Linked DNA regions of Oryzias latipes. The protein of the gene in region 1 purifies or fractionates together with the protein of each later gene. This does not show direct contact. Links are inferred from orthologs where the notes say so. Each region holds a gene or a part of one and is shown on either strand. Other genes may lie near its edges.

Region 1 (3,950 bases):
ACGGCAGAGTTTAGATTAAACCAGCTGATAGACTTCACAGTACTCTGCAAAAGACTCGTCTTTGAAACAGCTCAACTTCAGTTTAATAGGAAATGTTTTTCTGCTAGAGGTTAAAGGTCATTTCAGAGCGATAGCATCCATCACACCAGACCTGCAATGACTGAAAAACCACAGAAATCAAAGCCAAAAACTGCTTTATAGAAAACGTGGGAAAAGAAGCATGAAGAAGCATCGTCAGGAATTAAAACAAAGAGACCGTCTCCACATAAAATTTAATACAGAAAAGGACGCAGCAGGGAGCCTTGACCACGCCTGTGCAGCGGGAACTCCAGCATAAACGTGTGCTGCCACTCATGCATCAGTTCACACGCATCTTCAAATGTTTGGGGTCTTTCCCACATGCACGCCTCAGCCGCCGATGGTCGACCTCCTGACCCCTCGTCCTGCAGCCAGGTTAGAAAACTGAAAGCTGCTTCATTAAAACACCACTGAACATGGAAACGCCACGTTAGCGAGTGGAACACAGACGCTTGCAACACCAGGAAAGGCCAAAGGGACAAAGAGCTTCTCTGAAGCCACTTTAAAAAAAAAATACCCCGGGTGAGTAGACACAAATTCAACCATAAAAATCGTGAAAAGTTTTCTAATCTACGACATTGAACACTGGATGCTGACGTCCTCCTGAGATGGCACAATGTTCAGAGCACTTGGGTTATACCGTCTTCTGCTGGCCCTTCTTCCCGATCAGGGACTTGTGGATGTGCGGGATCACACCTGAAAGACAGGACACCTGTTCAGACCGGGGCGGGGCTTAGTCAGCCCGGGACGTCCAGGTGAAGCCCCCACTCACCTCCGCCGGCAATGGTGGCCTTAATGAGAGAATCCAGCTCCTCGTCTCCTCTGATGGCGAGCTGCAAGTGGCGTGGAGTGATTCTCTTCACCTTCAGGTCCTTTGATGCATTTCCTGCCAGCTCCAGGACCTGTGGAAAGCCAAAACCTCAGAAGGAGCAGAGGGGAGCCGGCCGGCAGGAGGCGCAGGTACGTTTCCTCCAAACCAGTGATCAGACCTGTGCGCTCGGCTGCAGCGTCCACTCTCGTTGAATAAACAGTTAGATCGGTAGGTAACATAAAGTATAAAAGTCGATAAACTCGTCTTTGATCTGCTTCTCACATCTTTTCGATCCTTGCAGTATAACGTAGGGAATTCTCCGGATGAATATCTTGGTTCTCAAAATCCCTCTTCAACTTTCTACAGTAAGTTAGTTGGTGTCTAATTTTGAAACTAGTCGATTTTTGCTGTTTTAATAAAAGAAGTTAGTAGGTACTGTTTTTTCGTTTGCAAGCAGTGCATGCTGGGACATGAGGTCATGTGACCGGTTTGGAGTACGCTGATTGGCTGCAGCCACTGTCCACCAACAAAGGATCAGATGTAGCTTAGTGAAGTACTTTTAGAATGTCGTACTTTTGATTAAATAACAGTTTCATTGTCGTTTCCTGTAGTTCGTTTGAATATCTTAGCAATGATGCCTCTTTCTTGGATTTTAAGGATAAAGTTATCACACTAAGAACTCTCATCTGTGATTCGGGTCACAAAACTTTTGCCTTTTCCCTTATATTTCAGGAATCAAATTCCGCCCTTCACTTCAAACGCCGTATCTTTCTTATTTTGACCCATCTGGATGATCCTTATACATTTGGAAAACTCTCTTTTAGATGACTTTTCGCCACATGCTGCAGCCGGTCTTACCTCTGCGGTCAGGTACTCCAGGATGGCCGCGCTGTACACGGCGGCGGTGGCCCCCACTCTGCCGTGGCTCGTGGTTCGAGACTTGAGATGTCTGTGGATGCGACCCACCGGGAACTACAGCGAGGAGGGATACAAGCGTTCACCGACAGGCGGAGCGCCCCGACCCGCGCCAGTACGGCCGGCCGCGGCGGGGCCAGCGGGAATGAATGAGCGGCGCTAACTGACCTGGAGTCCCGCTCTCTGCGAGCGCGAAATCGCCTTGGTCTTCGTCTTCCCGGAGTCCTTCCCAGCCTTACCGCCAGCCTGGAGAACACACAACCACAGAGTCGATCCACGGCCGGTAACGGCGCTCGGTGATCCAGATCGTTTATTTTACGACTCCGCGGGAAAAACTTGGTGGTTAGCATGCTAAGCTAACGCTAGCTTGTACCACATTTAGGCGCCACAGACGTTGATGCTCGGGCCCGCGCGGACTACCGGACAGAGGGGTTTCGGTCCGGTTATGTCGGTCGTTAAACGGTCGGGAATTACTTACCATGATGCCAAAGTATCACTTGGATTCAAAAGTACGCGCTGAAATCGGTATAGCTGCGTCCGGTGATGGCCTTAGAAAACAGCCGTTAGCCAGCGGGGCTTCTTCTTCTGCTGCTTTTTCTTCTTCTTCTTGTAGTTTAAATGGCGGGAGGCACCAACGACAAGGGCAGTACCGCCACCTGCTGTATTGGAGGATGGATCGTAGTTGGGGAATATCTAACCAAAAAACAAACTATATTCTCCTCAATAATCTGGTTCTGCTCATAAAAACCTATAATGCACCACTTAAATTCTCCTCCCCTCCCAAAAGCTTCTTTAAAACTCAGCCGTTCACCTCTATGAACTCTATTCTCCAGCTGTCGTCTTTCTTCCCCATACAGTTCACAATGACACAGAACAATCTCCACTGATTCTTCCCCTGTGTTATTCTTCTGAGGAGAATAACACCTCTATTTTTACCTGTAGATGTTTTCTTTTGTTTATTAAACTCCTTATACTGTAACAGATAAAAAGTTGGCTATAAATAAAATAAAATATATTTTGAAAACCTGCAATAATAAGCTGTTCCTGATTATTGTCATCATTGTTGTTGTTGTGTTGGTATTATTATTACTTTGTATAATTATTATTATTATTAATTCATCTTCTTCACTGTTTATTCCCTTTTGGGGTCATGGGGTTGCTGGAGCCTATCCCAGCCACTTGGGCTAAGGCAAGGGATGCCCTGGACAGGTCGCCAGTCTGTCCCAGGGTAGAATATCCTCAATCACACACCCATTCACTCTCACACCTATGGAAAATTTAGAGTTGCCAATCAACCTTTGAAGCATGTTTTGGACGGTGGGAGGAAACTGGAGATCCTGGAGAAAACCCACGCATGCACGGGGAGAAAATGCAAACTCCACACAGAAAGGTCCCCCATTGATGTTGTGTTTTTCATGTCACCCAGCTGGGACTTGAACTGGAGGCCTTCTTGCTGTGAGGCAAGAGCGCTAACCACTGCGCCACCGTGCAGCCCCTATTATTATTATTATTTATTTTAATTATTATTATGTCACACAGTTTTGCTGAAGTCTTTCAATTTAACATTGTGAAGTGTAATATATTGTGCCATCTTAGTTGACCAAAGGGGTTACAAATCTCCTCATTACAGTTTTACAACATGGAGACCCCCAAACAGCATTTTGCCTGGGCCCCCACAAAAGCTAGAAACGGGCCTGATAAAAACACAGACAGTCTCCAAAAATACAAAATGAACAAACGTGCAAAACTGCTCAGCAGTGTTGTGGATGTCATGTTGACCTGTGGCCACCAGAGGGCAGTCAGGGGTTCCACTCCACCCATCTGTCCTAGCTTCATGTGTCAGTTGTAAAGCTGCCTGTTCACTTTTGAATAAACATCTTGGTTTTAAAAAAGAAGCAGCGTCATTCCTCTGGAATTATCTCGCTAAAACCGTCATCTCTGCTGCTGTCAGTCATTCAGGCGGGTCAGTATGAAGGTCGCTGAGACCTTGGGACCTCAGCCAGTGTTTGAGCATCCGGAGTTTGTGATGGACCCCCACATTCACACCGGGTACTATCCTTCAGACCACAGTGCCCCCCAGCCAACAGCAGCTGTCCACTGCCTGCAGGGCGGGTGCTGGTCAGACGTACATCTGCGGGGTTTGAAC
Region 2 (4,080 bases), on another chromosome or scaffold:
CAATAAACATCTGAAGCATGTTTTTGGACTGGGAGGAAGCCGGAGTGCCCAGAGAAAACCAATGCAACAGTTTAAATATTAATATAATGGATATTCTTTTGGGTTATTTTTCATTTTGAATGCCCGTTATGTCACAAAGGAGAGGAGATGAGAGCATCTCACCTTGCAAAAGCCTTTTTTGATGGCGCTGAAGTCAGGAAGAACATAGTCTCTCATCAAATCGTTGTCCTCACCTCTCAGTCTGCAAACACAGTAAATGTGAAAGGGTTCTCCTTTTCTTTAAAAAGTCTGGTGAATGTCTCTGAGACACGTTTAACATCACACAGGTGGACCAGCAACAATAGACGTGCATCTGTCTTACTGCGCGATCTCCATGTCTTTGTAAAACTGCTGTGAGACGTAGCAGACGTCCTCCTTCACCTGGTTGATCACATGAGTTTCATCCATCACGTGCAGCTGGCTGGAGAAGTCGTTGCAAAGAATTATTCAGTAACTTATTTGATAAACGTAAAGCTGCAGACACAAACCCACCGATAGGAGATGATTTCTTTTAAGTGATTGGTGAGCAGTTTTCCCCCAACATTGATTCTGAAACACAAAAGTGTTTACAGTTGGTATTCTCACGGTCATAAGGGCCATAAGACAGCACAGTCTTACCTGCGGATGCCATGATTCAGTTTCTTGCTGCGGCAGTAGGGGGCGATGTGTGTGAAGGAGAACCCAGAGTCCACCACCAGGCAGCAGAGCTCAGACGGTTTGGAGTGGAAGCAGTGATGAGCGCTCAGAGAGCCACCTGGAGGAGAACAAAGGCAGTAAATGTCAAATCTCTGTTCTTTCATTAGAGCAAAACGACTCCATATTCTAACCTTGATTTTGTCTGAGCATCGAGTTAACAGCACAATTCATGTGAGACATCATTGCAGCCACTGTGGTCGTTTTTGGACCACAGAATGAAAATGTCTGCTTTTATTTTGAAACCAGGAGGAAATCTTTTTTTGTAAGTCAAAGAGGATGCTTGTTCTTACTTAATGATCTTTTAGTATTTATCTGCGTGATTCTTCAAAACCTGTGTTAAAACTTTGCTCAAACTTTTAAAATGCTCTCTTCTTAACGTTTTTTAAATTCCCTGTCAAAACCTATTTTTCCTACATAAAAATGACTCTTTGAGATAAACATATTCCTATAAACTCTTTTTAAATGCGCTTGTTTGATATTCTGGTCATTTGATGAACTCACCATTGATTCGAAGAGCAGACTGAAACTGGTATTCTTCAAAGAGGATCTCATTCATGGACTCCTGGATGGAGGTGAAGTTGAAGTATGGCTCTGTGATGATGATGCTGGTGTCTGCAAAGTCAACCTACACAAGGAACTCATAGTCAGCAGCTGGAAGAGCCTACTTAACTACATGCATGACTAACATACAAAAACGGACAAGTGCACCTTAAACATCTCCTTTCCAAAAAGGTGATCCCACACCTTCCTCTGAACATCCCAGTTGACCAGGTAACCCTGCACAGACATGAGCACCTAGTAAGAAACTGTTACCCAACCTGCACTGGACCTGCAGAGGCAACCTCACCTTCTGAAAGGGGAGGATGTAAAAGAGACCCGACGGATCTTTGATCTCATCCAGCTGATTCGCCGTGAACGTTTTTAGCCGGGAATTCTTTGAGCGAAACTGACAGTTGGGAATCACGCTGAAGAAAAATAAAGACAGAAACCAAGTTAAATTGGAAAAAACAAAATGTAAAAACGTCACATCCAGTAAGATCTTCAACCCACACAAATGCTAGAGATCTGGCATAAAAACGTGAAAAAAAACCTAAATAAACTTCCCACATCTGAAGAAAAAGGGTAAAAAAGTGTCACTAAATCTTCTACTGGTTCAATCAGAAGAATGGAGAAAACAAAGACTTTTGTAGATGAAATTCAGTAGACAAAAACATAACGGAGACTAAACATCACGACACAAATATTGACAGTTTCCCTTCCTAACAAAGTTAAGTTTGTGTTCACATGCAAAGCTAGATTTTTTTTATTACATAGAATATTTTCACAACATCCTCACAATACTTTTGTTTGCGAACAATAAAAGTATCTTAGGATCTGAAGATTCTGCTACCAGATTAGCACAAACTCAGATCACAAATGCATAAACAAACAAAAACTGTTGCCAATAATAGAAACAGGGGAACCTGTAACCTAATAGTACCTGTAACAGACAAAATATTTGGAGTATTCTAAGTCTAAGGTTTGAGTACCAAAAAGAACTTGGAAAAAAAAACCTTTTGTTTTCCTATGTCCATTTTTGCAAAATTGTTCTTTGATTTACCAAAGTAAAAGTCATAATGTGTTTGCCTGACAAGAAAAGCAATTTTGCCGCATTCGATTCGTTCGAGGGTAAATCTCTGTTGTAACGTTTATAGCTTACTGCTATTACCCCCCTACACTCAGTCCCATGACTTTATGTCACAGTGCAACAAACAAACGTTTTCCAGTGGAATGAGGTTTTAATCTTTCGGGAAATAAAAAAAAACGCAATATTGATTGAAAGCATCATCGTCATCTGTGAAGTTAGCCTTGCTAAAACAAAGTAACCTCACCTGACTTTCTCCAGACTGTAACCGATCTTCGCCGTGTACGCGCCATTATCCAAAACTAAGGTAGCCATTTTAGAAGAAAAACATTTAAATAACTATTTAGTTTTTTAAGTCGTAACTACACAAAAAGCACATTGTAAACTGATCGGGCTAAATCAGCCACCATTCAGAATTGTTCCTTCTAGCCAATCACATTCAGTCTTTCATCTTTCTTCCGGACGATGGAAAGCCAATCACATCTGCGTAATCTTTTTCTTTCAGCCAATCAAAGAACAAGCCAAAGTACCTCCTGAAAAAGTGGCTCGTGCAGAAACACATTCCTGTCACAGTTCCACTTTTTAGATATTTTAACATAAATGAATTTTTCGTTTGTCAAACTAACTAAATACGCTATTAACATGTCCCCGCCTCTCTCTATATAAAGTAATTAAAGAAAAACATGATTAAAAAAAATTAGGACTCTCTTCAAATAGGAAGATTTGACAAACTTAGCAAACAATCTGCCTTTTTTCTCATCTTTTTTTTATTTTTTTATTTTTAATTTTTTTTTATTGAATGCTGGAAGAATACAGTACAAAAATATAACACTATAAAAGTACAATGTAAGAACATAACACAACTCCAAAATAGAAGTTATTATTATTATTTACGTTTTTAGCTTCTGTTGAAAACAAAAACATTTTATAAAATTAGCATCAAAGTATATCAAAAGAAAAAATCCACAAAGAGAAAGGAAAAAAAAACCACAATGGAACTAGATTAGTTTTATTGAATACATTTTATTGCTGGAGTTCCATTTTCAGTAAGAAAAGCAAGAAAAGTTAAGGTACTTCATTAGAAAATTTACCTTTGAGATTTTGAAATTTTTCCAGAAATAGAATCACAGTTAGAAAAAAGAAAGAACCACTATCTTTGTGATTAAATTGTTTAAAACCAAAAATCACGTTTTTATAATAAAGTTAAAAATCAGCAAAAACAGAGTCAGTAATGAATTTGTGGCTCTTTTTCCAGAATGTGTCAGTAAATTCACATGACCAAAATAAATGAGAACATGTTTCAGGATTTTTCTGTCAGAAAGTACAGCTGTTGTTTAAGTCAACTCTAAATTTAGATAATGTTTTGCGGGATAAAATTTGTCCAGTAGTGTAAATTAAATTTCTTTGACCTTGTTTATTGAACAGACTTATTGTGGTAAAGACCGATTTTTATTTTTCAACATAAATAATGTGTAAGATGACTTCCTCCAAAAACAGACACATTGACTGTATCTGAGGCCAAACATTTGGAGAGAGAACAAGCGTATGTACCATTACCCTGCTGCTGGACGTCATTCCATATTCCAAAAGTGGGAATTTGGGGTCTTTACAATTTTCAACAAATTCTACACTTATATCTTCTGATTGATTGGGCACACATGATGTCGGTGTCACTGTTTACTCTAGCATACCTGTCTGAACATATGAATTTTAAAAAGCAC
Region 3 (4,091 bases), on another chromosome or scaffold:
GCTAACCATGATGTAAAAATATCACAAACAAGAGAGAGGAGATTCCTTAGCTTCAGCCACTCTTTTGGAAAAGCAATGCCAAGTCCAGAATATCATGTCATTTTCTGTTGGATTCTTTTTCTATCATGATAAAAACAGAAGTTATAGTAACAGGAATGTGTGCATGTTGTGAGAGACATGTTTCATTTGGAATTAAATTATTGAAAATGATATTTTGTTTATTAAGACAAATGTTTTTCACAGTTGCAAGAGACAGCAAAAATATGTTTTGGTATTTTAAAAAACTACTTTCAAGCATTTTTTCCCCCTTAGTTTTTGTAGATTTGGTTTCAGGAAAATTAAATGTACGTGCAAATGCAAGATTTGGGGATTTTGATTGGGGTGCATTTAAAATTTGATGGCAGGGATGTAAAACGTCCTCCAATTCTGGAATGACCTGTGTGTTTACACACACAAAATACAAAAGACTGAATCAAGTTTGATTCATAAGGTTACCAACTTGACTTTGTATCAAATGCATAATAAAGGAAACCAATAGCCATTAAAACAATTTCACAACAACTTAAACATTCTGGTATTAACTAATGTAAAACTCTAGTGTTGGCCATGTTTCTATTGCTGTGCTTGAGTCTAAACTTTTGATTTTATATATTTAAATATAAAACTCAAAATCACATTTTGTCATTATTGTTTATTATTATCATCATTTTATATGTATTGATTGATTTATTGGGGTTTTAATTTTTCTTCATTTATTTATTTCAGGAAGTAATCCGGTAAAACTTTTTTCATATAATTTTTATTGAACTTCAAACAAACATATACACATAGATACAGATGAAAGAAATAAAAAAGAATAAATTACACATAAAATTATTTTAATAAAAACAATATAAAATAAAAATATAACATTAAAATTGTAGTTTACAATACTAGGGATTGTCATACAACATGTGATCTTCAATGAAAGATAATTGTATTGCGTTTTTTGTTATTTATTATGTTCAGAGATTTAAAATATAAACTGATCTCTTTTTGAAATTTATTGAGTAATGGGTTTGGTTTTTGAAAATCTGCTCTTATGAATGAAAAATTTCCCAGATATTAATAAAGTATTGAATGTCAAATCAAATAGATCATCACCAGAAACTACTCCAAATAATATGATGTGCTTTTGTAATTGAATAAAAATAGGAATAGGAAGTAATCCGCTTCATTTGAGCCGCATTGCTTTATGACTGTTGATACCGCAGGTAGGCGGAGCTTCACATCCGGGTGCTGAAGCTGACCCCTGACGTGACCCTGCAGGATTACAAACATGGCGGAGGTAAGAAAGTCTTATACATTTTCACTAAAATTATTTTCTTCTTGTGGGCGGCTGGTTCAGCCAGATTTACTCACACTCCCCTGCTGTAGCTTTTGAACACGACACGGAACGTCAGCGTTTTGTCTCGCTGGACGGGCGCCATTTTTTGGATCCAGACATGTTTGGTAAACTTTGAGCTTAGCTAACGTTAGCTGCGGCGTTAGCGACTATGTTCCGCGGTTTTTGTTTAAAAATAAATTATCAACAAAGGATTTCGTTTTTTCATAAACATAATTCTAAAAGTTTTTTTAAATAACTGTAATTTACGCGTTTTCTTTTCTTTTTCACCTGAAATCTATAAATAGCGAGCTTAAATTAGGAATGCTTTAGCAAAAAAACGAGTAAAGATTATTTAGCTTGCAAAAATTGTAATTTCAATTAGTATGAATAAAGTTTGTCAGCGCTTATTTCTAGAATATTCCTTATAGTTAAAGATGATGCATTTTTAAATTTTGGAATTTATTATAAATTTATATTTACTTATTTATCATATTTTGTCGGAAAAAGACGTGAAATTTATCGTTTTTTTCTTTTTTGTTGTTTCTGAGGTGTTGTAGGAATTTAATTGTACATTTATATTTTCTTATGCCACTTATATTAAACAAAACCCCGCCACACGAACCTGATTATGTAAAGCTGTTCAGCAGCGAACGGTTTCAGTTTCACATCCCATGAATTATTCATTTTATGCCTGTTTTTTTTTTAACCTTTAATACTTACATTTGAGATTTTTTGGTTTTTAAGATTTTGAGAGAGAGAGAGAGAGAGATTTATTTCGGTAATGTACAAACACAATCCTAAAACGTCAACATAAATGTTGAAGAAAATTTTACCTAAAGCAAATAATCCTCCTAATTTTTTGTTTTTTATTCCCACTTGTTACATGTTTGGCTCTTGTTTTGTTGTCATGTATTTTTTTATTCATGTTGTGTGTATTTCTGTCTTGTATTGTCTCATTCAGTACATCTTTGTGTTATGATGCCTGGATGTGTTCTGTAATGGTTTCATCTGTATTGAACTTTTTTATTTGACTAACTTTTCTTCCTTTTTTTCTCTCTAGCCTTCGCTGGGGAACTCGAGCCCAGGTACACATGGTACTAAATGCTTACACATAATTTGTAGAGGAATTTGTTTAAAAAAATAAAAAGTAAAAGCTGGTTTCCCCATCTTTGTTCTTATTTTAATGGTCTCTAAGGCATACATACATTCTGGGCTGTTTTGTTAATATTTAGGGTTACACAATATTTTGTTATGTCAAATTTCTAAAATTGGTATTATATATTGATAAATGACTTTTTGGTTCAAAAATGCTCCTTTGTTTCCTTTTTTTACTTGCACTTTCCAAGGAGGTTCAGCAGGTTCTGATGACCATGATTTTGACCCCACCGCTGAGATGCTGGTGCATGACTTTGATGATGAACGCACACTGGAGGAGGAAGAAAGGCTGGAGGCGACAGACGACACCAATGTTAATGAGATTGAAGACCTTGCACGGGTTTGTTTTATTTTAAATTGTAAGACCTTTTGCTAAATGTAATGTTATATTTCTGGTGGTATTTATTATAGTTATGAAAACCCTGTTTGTTTGTGTGTTTTTAACCTGATTTTTAAAATTTGTCTTTAATCTAGTGTGATATTTTTAATTGAAATAGTTACTTTTAACTTGTAACTAATAATGGGAATGATATATTATTCATGGATCTGATATATTTTTACATAAACGAACACATTTTCATTTCCCATCATTGTAATGCTGCGTTAACTCCAAACACGATTTGCGTCGGCCGCCTATGTTTGGAAGCGTGGCTTGTGGGAGGAGCTACCACCAAATGTTTTTGGCCTGATTGCTACAGGGAGCGGTGTCTGTGTGCATCTCATTTACGATGCATGGAAGACCCCACTTTGTCAAAGTTCAGAGATTTGAACTCTGGACGCAACACTCAAATGGCGCTGCTGCCGGACCGACGTGCCGCGCCCGATGCCCAAATCGCGCCACAGGGCCTCTGACAGCATTTGAATATTGATTTAACCTTGAAACTGGACGTCTTTATCACACCAATAACGTTTTTCCTCCTGGTCACAACCTTTAGGCTAATTTTAAAATTGAAAAAGTTCAATCTCTCCTAAAGAAAGATAGACAAACAACAAACTTGTTTTTTTCTATAAACTGAGGATTTAATAGATTCACATTGTGTCAGAGGGCAACTTTCATCACCATTCAATGTCTTACTGTGAATCAGTAATAATAGGAAGTGAACTAAACTCAGCTTTATTTTTAATAGGAAGGTGAGATGCCCATACATGAGCTGCTGAGCCTTTATGGCTATGGGGGTAGATCACCAGCAGAGGAGGAAGAGGAGGAGGAGGAAGAGGAGGAGGAAGAACCTGAGGATGAGGACGACGAGGAAGAGGACGAAGAGGAGGATCTTGATAACGATGAAAGCAGCAGAAGCACTGGGGAGCTGAAAAGAACTGAGGTAGTTTTTAGCTGTGGTCTCACTGGTTTGCGGATTTTTTTCAATGCAATTTAGTATGTTTTTTAATTTTTTTTAACAGCAGGTTGTGTCCTGCGTCCTGATTGGCTGTAGGCCTTTGCCAATCAATATCTTCTGTGCCGTGGCTCTATAATCTGTTCAGTTTGCCAAATTTACAATTTTGATCGCGAGCAGATCTCTTTCATTCCAAAATACTGGACTTATTTTTCTTTGAAAGTTTAAACTTTGAG
Region 4 (4,221 bases), on another chromosome or scaffold:
GCAAACAGCAGGAGATCTGAACCTTTTTCTGCAAACAGGTGTTAGCATGACGCAGCAGGAAGTGACGTGTCTGTAGTCCATCCTCCTTCATTTGTAGTTCAACAGAATGATGTCATCTCTGCAGAAAAGGCGGAGCCTCTTTCCTCCTCTGCTTTGACCTGTGGCGTCAGCCTACAGGTCCAGGAGAACCGGGTTCTCAACCAGACCCCCCCTCATCACTTCAGGAGGGTCTGTCCATGTGAGGGAGGAGAACAGACTCACCTCCATCCTCATCTTCATCCTCTTCGTCCTCTTCCTCCTCAACATAATCTCCATCATCGTCTTCGTCCTTCAACAGAAACAGGAAGCTGCTGACTGCGCTCAGTCACAAGGAGCCCCCCCCCTCCCCCTCCCCATCTGGATCAGTGGCACACCTGGATGCCGTCCTTCATCAGGTAGGAAAGCCCCACTTCCTCTTCTTCAGAGCCGTGCTCTTCATCATCTTCGTCCTCCTCATCATCATCTCCGGGAGGACCTGCCTCCTCCTCCTCATCTAGAAAAGAACCAGTGTGTTGACAGGAAACGGATCAGGTGAGTTCAGACGGAACCAAACAAGAACTTTAGGTTTGTCTTAGACCTTCATGATTATTCTGAAGAACCAGCAGAGCGGGTTCCTCGACCTTCAGACTGTGACGGATGGCGCCTCACCGTTGTCGGACGCCTCGTTGTCCTCCTGGTCGAACCCGTCCAGGTAGGTGAGCTGTGGCAGCAGCTGGAAGACGCGCTCCCTGTAGTCGTCCAGAGAGGACACGTCGCAGCCGTACAGGTCCAGACTCTTCAGGGCCTTCAGGCTCTGCTGCAGGTCACATGACATCGCCGTGAGCAGCGGACCTCCTGGGAGGACCAGAGGAAGGCGCCACTTACCAGCGGCTCCAGGCTGCTCAGCTCCTTCAGCTTGTTGCTGCTGAGGTTGAGGTGGGTCAGGCCAGGACACTTCTCCACCAGCGTGTTCAGCCCCCCACCGATGGAGTTCTCACTGACCTCCAGCTGAAACACAGCAGTCGGGTCTCAGTTCTGCTGTAAAAGGCGGGAAGGCTGAGCGGTTCAGACCAACCTGAACCTGGAACCATTTGGTTTGCATCATTCTGAGGTCAACGTCCTTCATTCAGTTTAGACGTTTGGGAGGAAGGTCAGACCTCCTGAGGCTGCGGTCATGACCACGTCTCCTCACCTTCTGCAGTTTGGGCAGCAGGGGCATCTTGGACAGCGAGCTGAGGCCCACGTTCACCATGCTGAGGACCTCCAGCTCCGTGAACTCCTCTGACAGACCTTCCACCTCGCCGTCGCTGGAGCGGCAGTTGTCCACCACCAGCTCCCCCACCTGGAAGCAGACGGCAGCTGAGCAGACCTGCAGCCAACACCCCACCTTCGGCGCCGCAGAGCGGCCGCTTCACTCTGAGGACAGGAGGCCTCGTCTACCAGCCGGGCTCTGGTCCAGAACCGGTCCTGGTGGATTTCACAATCCCCTTAGTGTCTGCTCCAGAGAGCTTCAGAGCCTAGACGTATGTGGAAACGCTCCACCAGGCGTGTTTGGAGTTTTAACGCCATGCCATCATGGTAGCCAATCAGATGTGCAGCACTTCCCCAGAGCTCCATCCACAGCGCCACAGCTGATTGGATGAATATTTATTCTTCCTTTTCATCCGCCCGCCGTCCGCAGTCACGTGACACCAGCAGTTTTACCACCATGACGCTTTCATACGTCACCATGATGGAAACCAGACGGCCTCGGCGTTCCCGCGCCCCCTGCAGGCCGTTAGCGAAACTGCAGACGTTTGATGACAGGCAACAGGTCTGGACCAGAACCGAGCTCTGGACCTTTGGAACAACTGCAGTGTTTAGGTCCATAGAGCCCAGATGTTTGTAGGGTTCTGTATGTGAACTCATGTTTACCACAATATAGAATATGTATAGTAAAGTAAGTCCCATAAATGAGTGGTACCTATAGAAGCTAATCTGTGTTGGTGCTCCCCATTCCGAACCTGACCTCCCATTTCGAACCTGACCTCTGCACGGCTTAAGAATGAAGGCAGACGGACCGAGGACCACCGGTACCGTCCATTCCCCGCGTCCTGGTCTCGGACCGTGGCTGAGGTTCAGCTCACGTCTGCCCGATATTCCGCCAGAAGGCTGTTTGAAATGGACCGAACCCACCCGGGTCCCCAACAGCCAGCCGTGCATCGAAAAAATCCAGCTCCGAGACTGGACTGCGCATGCGCATTGAAAGTGGTCCGAACAGACTCACCGAGCTGGAGCTTCAAGCTAAAACGGCGCCGAAGCATTTCAGCAGAACTGCGGTTCGTCAGGATCACCACTGTCATCGGAACCGCGATCATCCTACGGCGGGAAGTCGCCCCGCTGCACACAGTCAACGGAACCCGACCGAAACAGACCCAAACCGGCTCGCGGCTCTTTCTCCACATTAGCTAGCTAGCTGGAGCTGCCTCGAGGCTTCTCCACGGAACACAGGAAACCCGCACGTGGAGCGGGCGGGAAACAGAGCTCCGCTACTAGAGCCGCGCGGGTGTAGCTCGCGCTAAGACGACGGAACACGCGCGCGCGTCTTTACCGCTAACGCAGAAAACAGGAGCGGCTGCGGGATTCTCACGCACCTCGGTGGGACTTCGGTTTCGGAGCTCGAGGCTGATCCTCTTCTTCATCTCCATGATGAAGCAGGAGCACAGAAAGTAGCAAAACAAAAGAGATGGCGCGCACGCGCGGCTCAGTCCTCTGTCGCGAACACGCCTCCTCACGCATTTCAAAGGCTCCGGATCCACGTGGGATCTGATTGGTTCGGTCTGAAGCTCCGCCCCCACAGCGTACGACTGAATACTCTTGACCGCGATTGGTCTGAACGTCAGGACTGACCAATGAGAATGCGAAGATAGACCCTTTTTTAAAATGTTTAGGCTCCTCCCCTTTCTGTAGAAACAGGCTGATCTAAGAAACCAGAGGATCCCAAACACGAGATCAATCTGGGATTTCCTATTCTACAGAGCAGAACGTGAACTCATCAGGAGAACATCAATCACCTTTGAGGGGATTGCTGTCTTAAAACATCATGAATCGGACCGCCACCTGCTCCGGTTCTGGTTGGCTGGATAAACAGATCCAGTTCAGTTTCAGAACAGTCGTTTTATTCTGTTTTCTTAAAAAACAAACATGTACACCTGAAATCACAGCCAGAAATAAATAACAGCAAACTCAGGGTTTGGTTCTGGTCGGACCCGGCTGCTCTGAGCGAAGGCCAATCCAACCAGAGCAATGAGGAGAGACAGAAAACTTCAACACCATCAGTGCAGGTCCAACAGAACCGCAAATGCTCAGACCATCCAGAAAGATGTGAGAGGAGGAGTCATGACTCATGGGGAGGAGTCATAACTCATGGGGAGGAGTCACGAATAATGGGGAGGAGTCATGACTCATGGGGAGGAGTCATGACTCATGGGGAGGAGTCACGAATAATGGGGAGGAGTCATGACTCATGGGGAGGAGTCATAACTCATGGGGAGGAGTCACGACTAATGGGGAGGAGTCATGACTCATGGGGAGGAGTCATGACTCATGGGGAGGAGTCATGACTCATGGGGAGGAGTTAGATAAAAGGTGATCATCAAGAGAGCGTTGAGGGAGTTAAAAAGGAACTGAGCATGCTCAGTGGAGATCTTCTGGTTCCGAAATGACATCAATAAATAAACTGTAACAATTTAACAGTAAATTGTTGTAGTTCAACAGGAAGTGATGTCACTACATCATCTTCAGACTTCCTGTCTGGGTGGAGCTTCGGGACTCTTCATGCAGGTTCTGAGGAGGTGAGAAGGACAAACCGGTCTCATATTTACAGAATGGGGGCTCAGTCTGACCGCTCAGTCCACGATGGAGGCTCTGCGTGACCTGCAGGAAGGTCAGGGAGACCAGGAGAACTTCAGGGAGCTGGCAGAGAGCCCCCGCTTTGGGGTCTTCAGGCGGCTGGCAGGTGAGGAGTGGACTGCCTTCAGAGAACCTCTTTCATCTCTGATATGCAGAACAAAGTTCTGTTCAGCGGAAGCTTCAGGAACCAGAACTGTTCCCAGGTTTGAAGAAGAACGATGCTCCGGATGAGAACCTGGTCTGGAGAACCAGAAGATGGTTCTCAGGATGTAGAGTCCGTCTCTGAGCATCACATCCGGTCCAGGACCCCGT

Evidence for each region. Proteins that work in one complex are often made in the same cells at the same time.
Region 2: the proteins of histone H2A.Z (region 1) and actr6 purify together in Homo sapiens (affinity purification with mass spectrometry; 4 studies listed by BioGRID and IntAct, with this or other methods). This does not show direct contact. The link is inferred for Oryzias latipes from reciprocal best matches to the Homo sapiens genes H2AZ1 and ACTR6.
Region 3: the proteins of histone H2A.Z (region 1) and mier1 purify together in Homo sapiens (affinity purification with mass spectrometry; 3 studies listed by BioGRID and IntAct, with this or other methods). This does not show direct contact. The link is inferred for Oryzias latipes from reciprocal best matches to the Homo sapiens genes H2AZ1 and MIER1.
Region 4: the proteins of histone H2A.Z (region 1) and acidic leucine-rich nuclear phosphoprotein 32 family member E purify together in Homo sapiens (affinity purification with mass spectrometry; 4 studies listed by BioGRID and IntAct, with this or other methods). This does not show direct contact. The link is inferred for Oryzias latipes from reciprocal best matches to the Homo sapiens genes H2AZ1 and ANP32E.

What each region holds. Positions count from the first base shown.
Region 1 is NC_019876.2:29,622,101-29,626,050, forward strand, and holds histone H2A.Z, read right to left. Parts: upstream 2,810-3,950; 5' UTR 2,286-2,809; coding exon 2,283-2,285; intron 2,051-2,282; coding exon 1,973-2,050; intron 1,862-1,972; coding exon 1,748-1,861; intron 981-1,747; coding exon 851-980; intron 775-850; coding exon 713-774; 3' UTR 178-712; downstream 1-177. UniProt on the Homo sapiens protein: Variant histone H2A which replaces conventional H2A in a subset of nucleosomes. Nucleosomes wrap and compact DNA into chromatin, limiting DNA accessibility to the cellular machineries which require DNA as a template.
Region 2 is NC_019864.2:26,969,197-26,973,276, reverse strand, and holds the start of actr6 (actin-related protein 6), read right to left. Parts: upstream 2,804-4,080; 5' UTR 2,675-2,803; coding exon 2,607-2,674; intron 1,701-2,606; coding exon 1,583-1,700; intron 1,513-1,582; coding exon 1,444-1,512; intron 1,361-1,443; coding exon 1,237-1,360; intron 794-1,236; coding exon 658-793; intron 589-657; coding exon 532-588; intron 461-531; coding exon 362-460; intron 242-361; coding exon 163-241; intron 1-162. UniProt on the Homo sapiens protein: Required for formation and/or maintenance of proper nucleolar structure and function. Plays a dual role in the regulation of ribosomal DNA (rDNA) transcription.
Region 3 is NC_019875.2:16,593,190-16,597,280, forward strand, and holds the start of mier1 (mesoderm induction early response protein 1), read left to right. Parts: upstream 1-1,288; 5' UTR 1,289-1,318; coding exon 1,319-1,327; intron 1,328-1,363; exon of another isoform or gene 1,364-1,491; intron 1,492-2,426; coding exon 2,427-2,460; intron 2,461-2,712; coding exon 2,713-2,861; intron 2,862-3,648; coding exon 3,649-3,843; intron 3,844-4,091. UniProt on the Homo sapiens protein: Transcriptional repressor regulating the expression of a number of genes including SP1 target genes. Probably functions through recruitment of HDAC1 a histone deacetylase involved in chromatin silencing.
Region 4 is NC_019874.2:32,438,063-32,442,283, reverse strand, and holds the start of acidic leucine-rich nuclear phosphoprotein 32 family member E, read right to left. Parts: upstream 2,804-4,221; 5' UTR 2,706-2,803; coding exon 2,652-2,705; intron 1,361-2,651; coding exon 1,211-1,360; intron 1,027-1,210; coding exon 904-1,026; intron 836-903; coding exon 688-835; intron 533-687; coding exon 414-532; intron 329-413; coding exon 262-328; intron 1-261. UniProt on the Homo sapiens protein: Histone chaperone that specifically mediates the genome-wide removal of histone H2A.Z/H2AZ1 from the nucleosome: removes H2A.Z/H2AZ1 from its normal sites of deposition, especially from enhancer and insulator regions.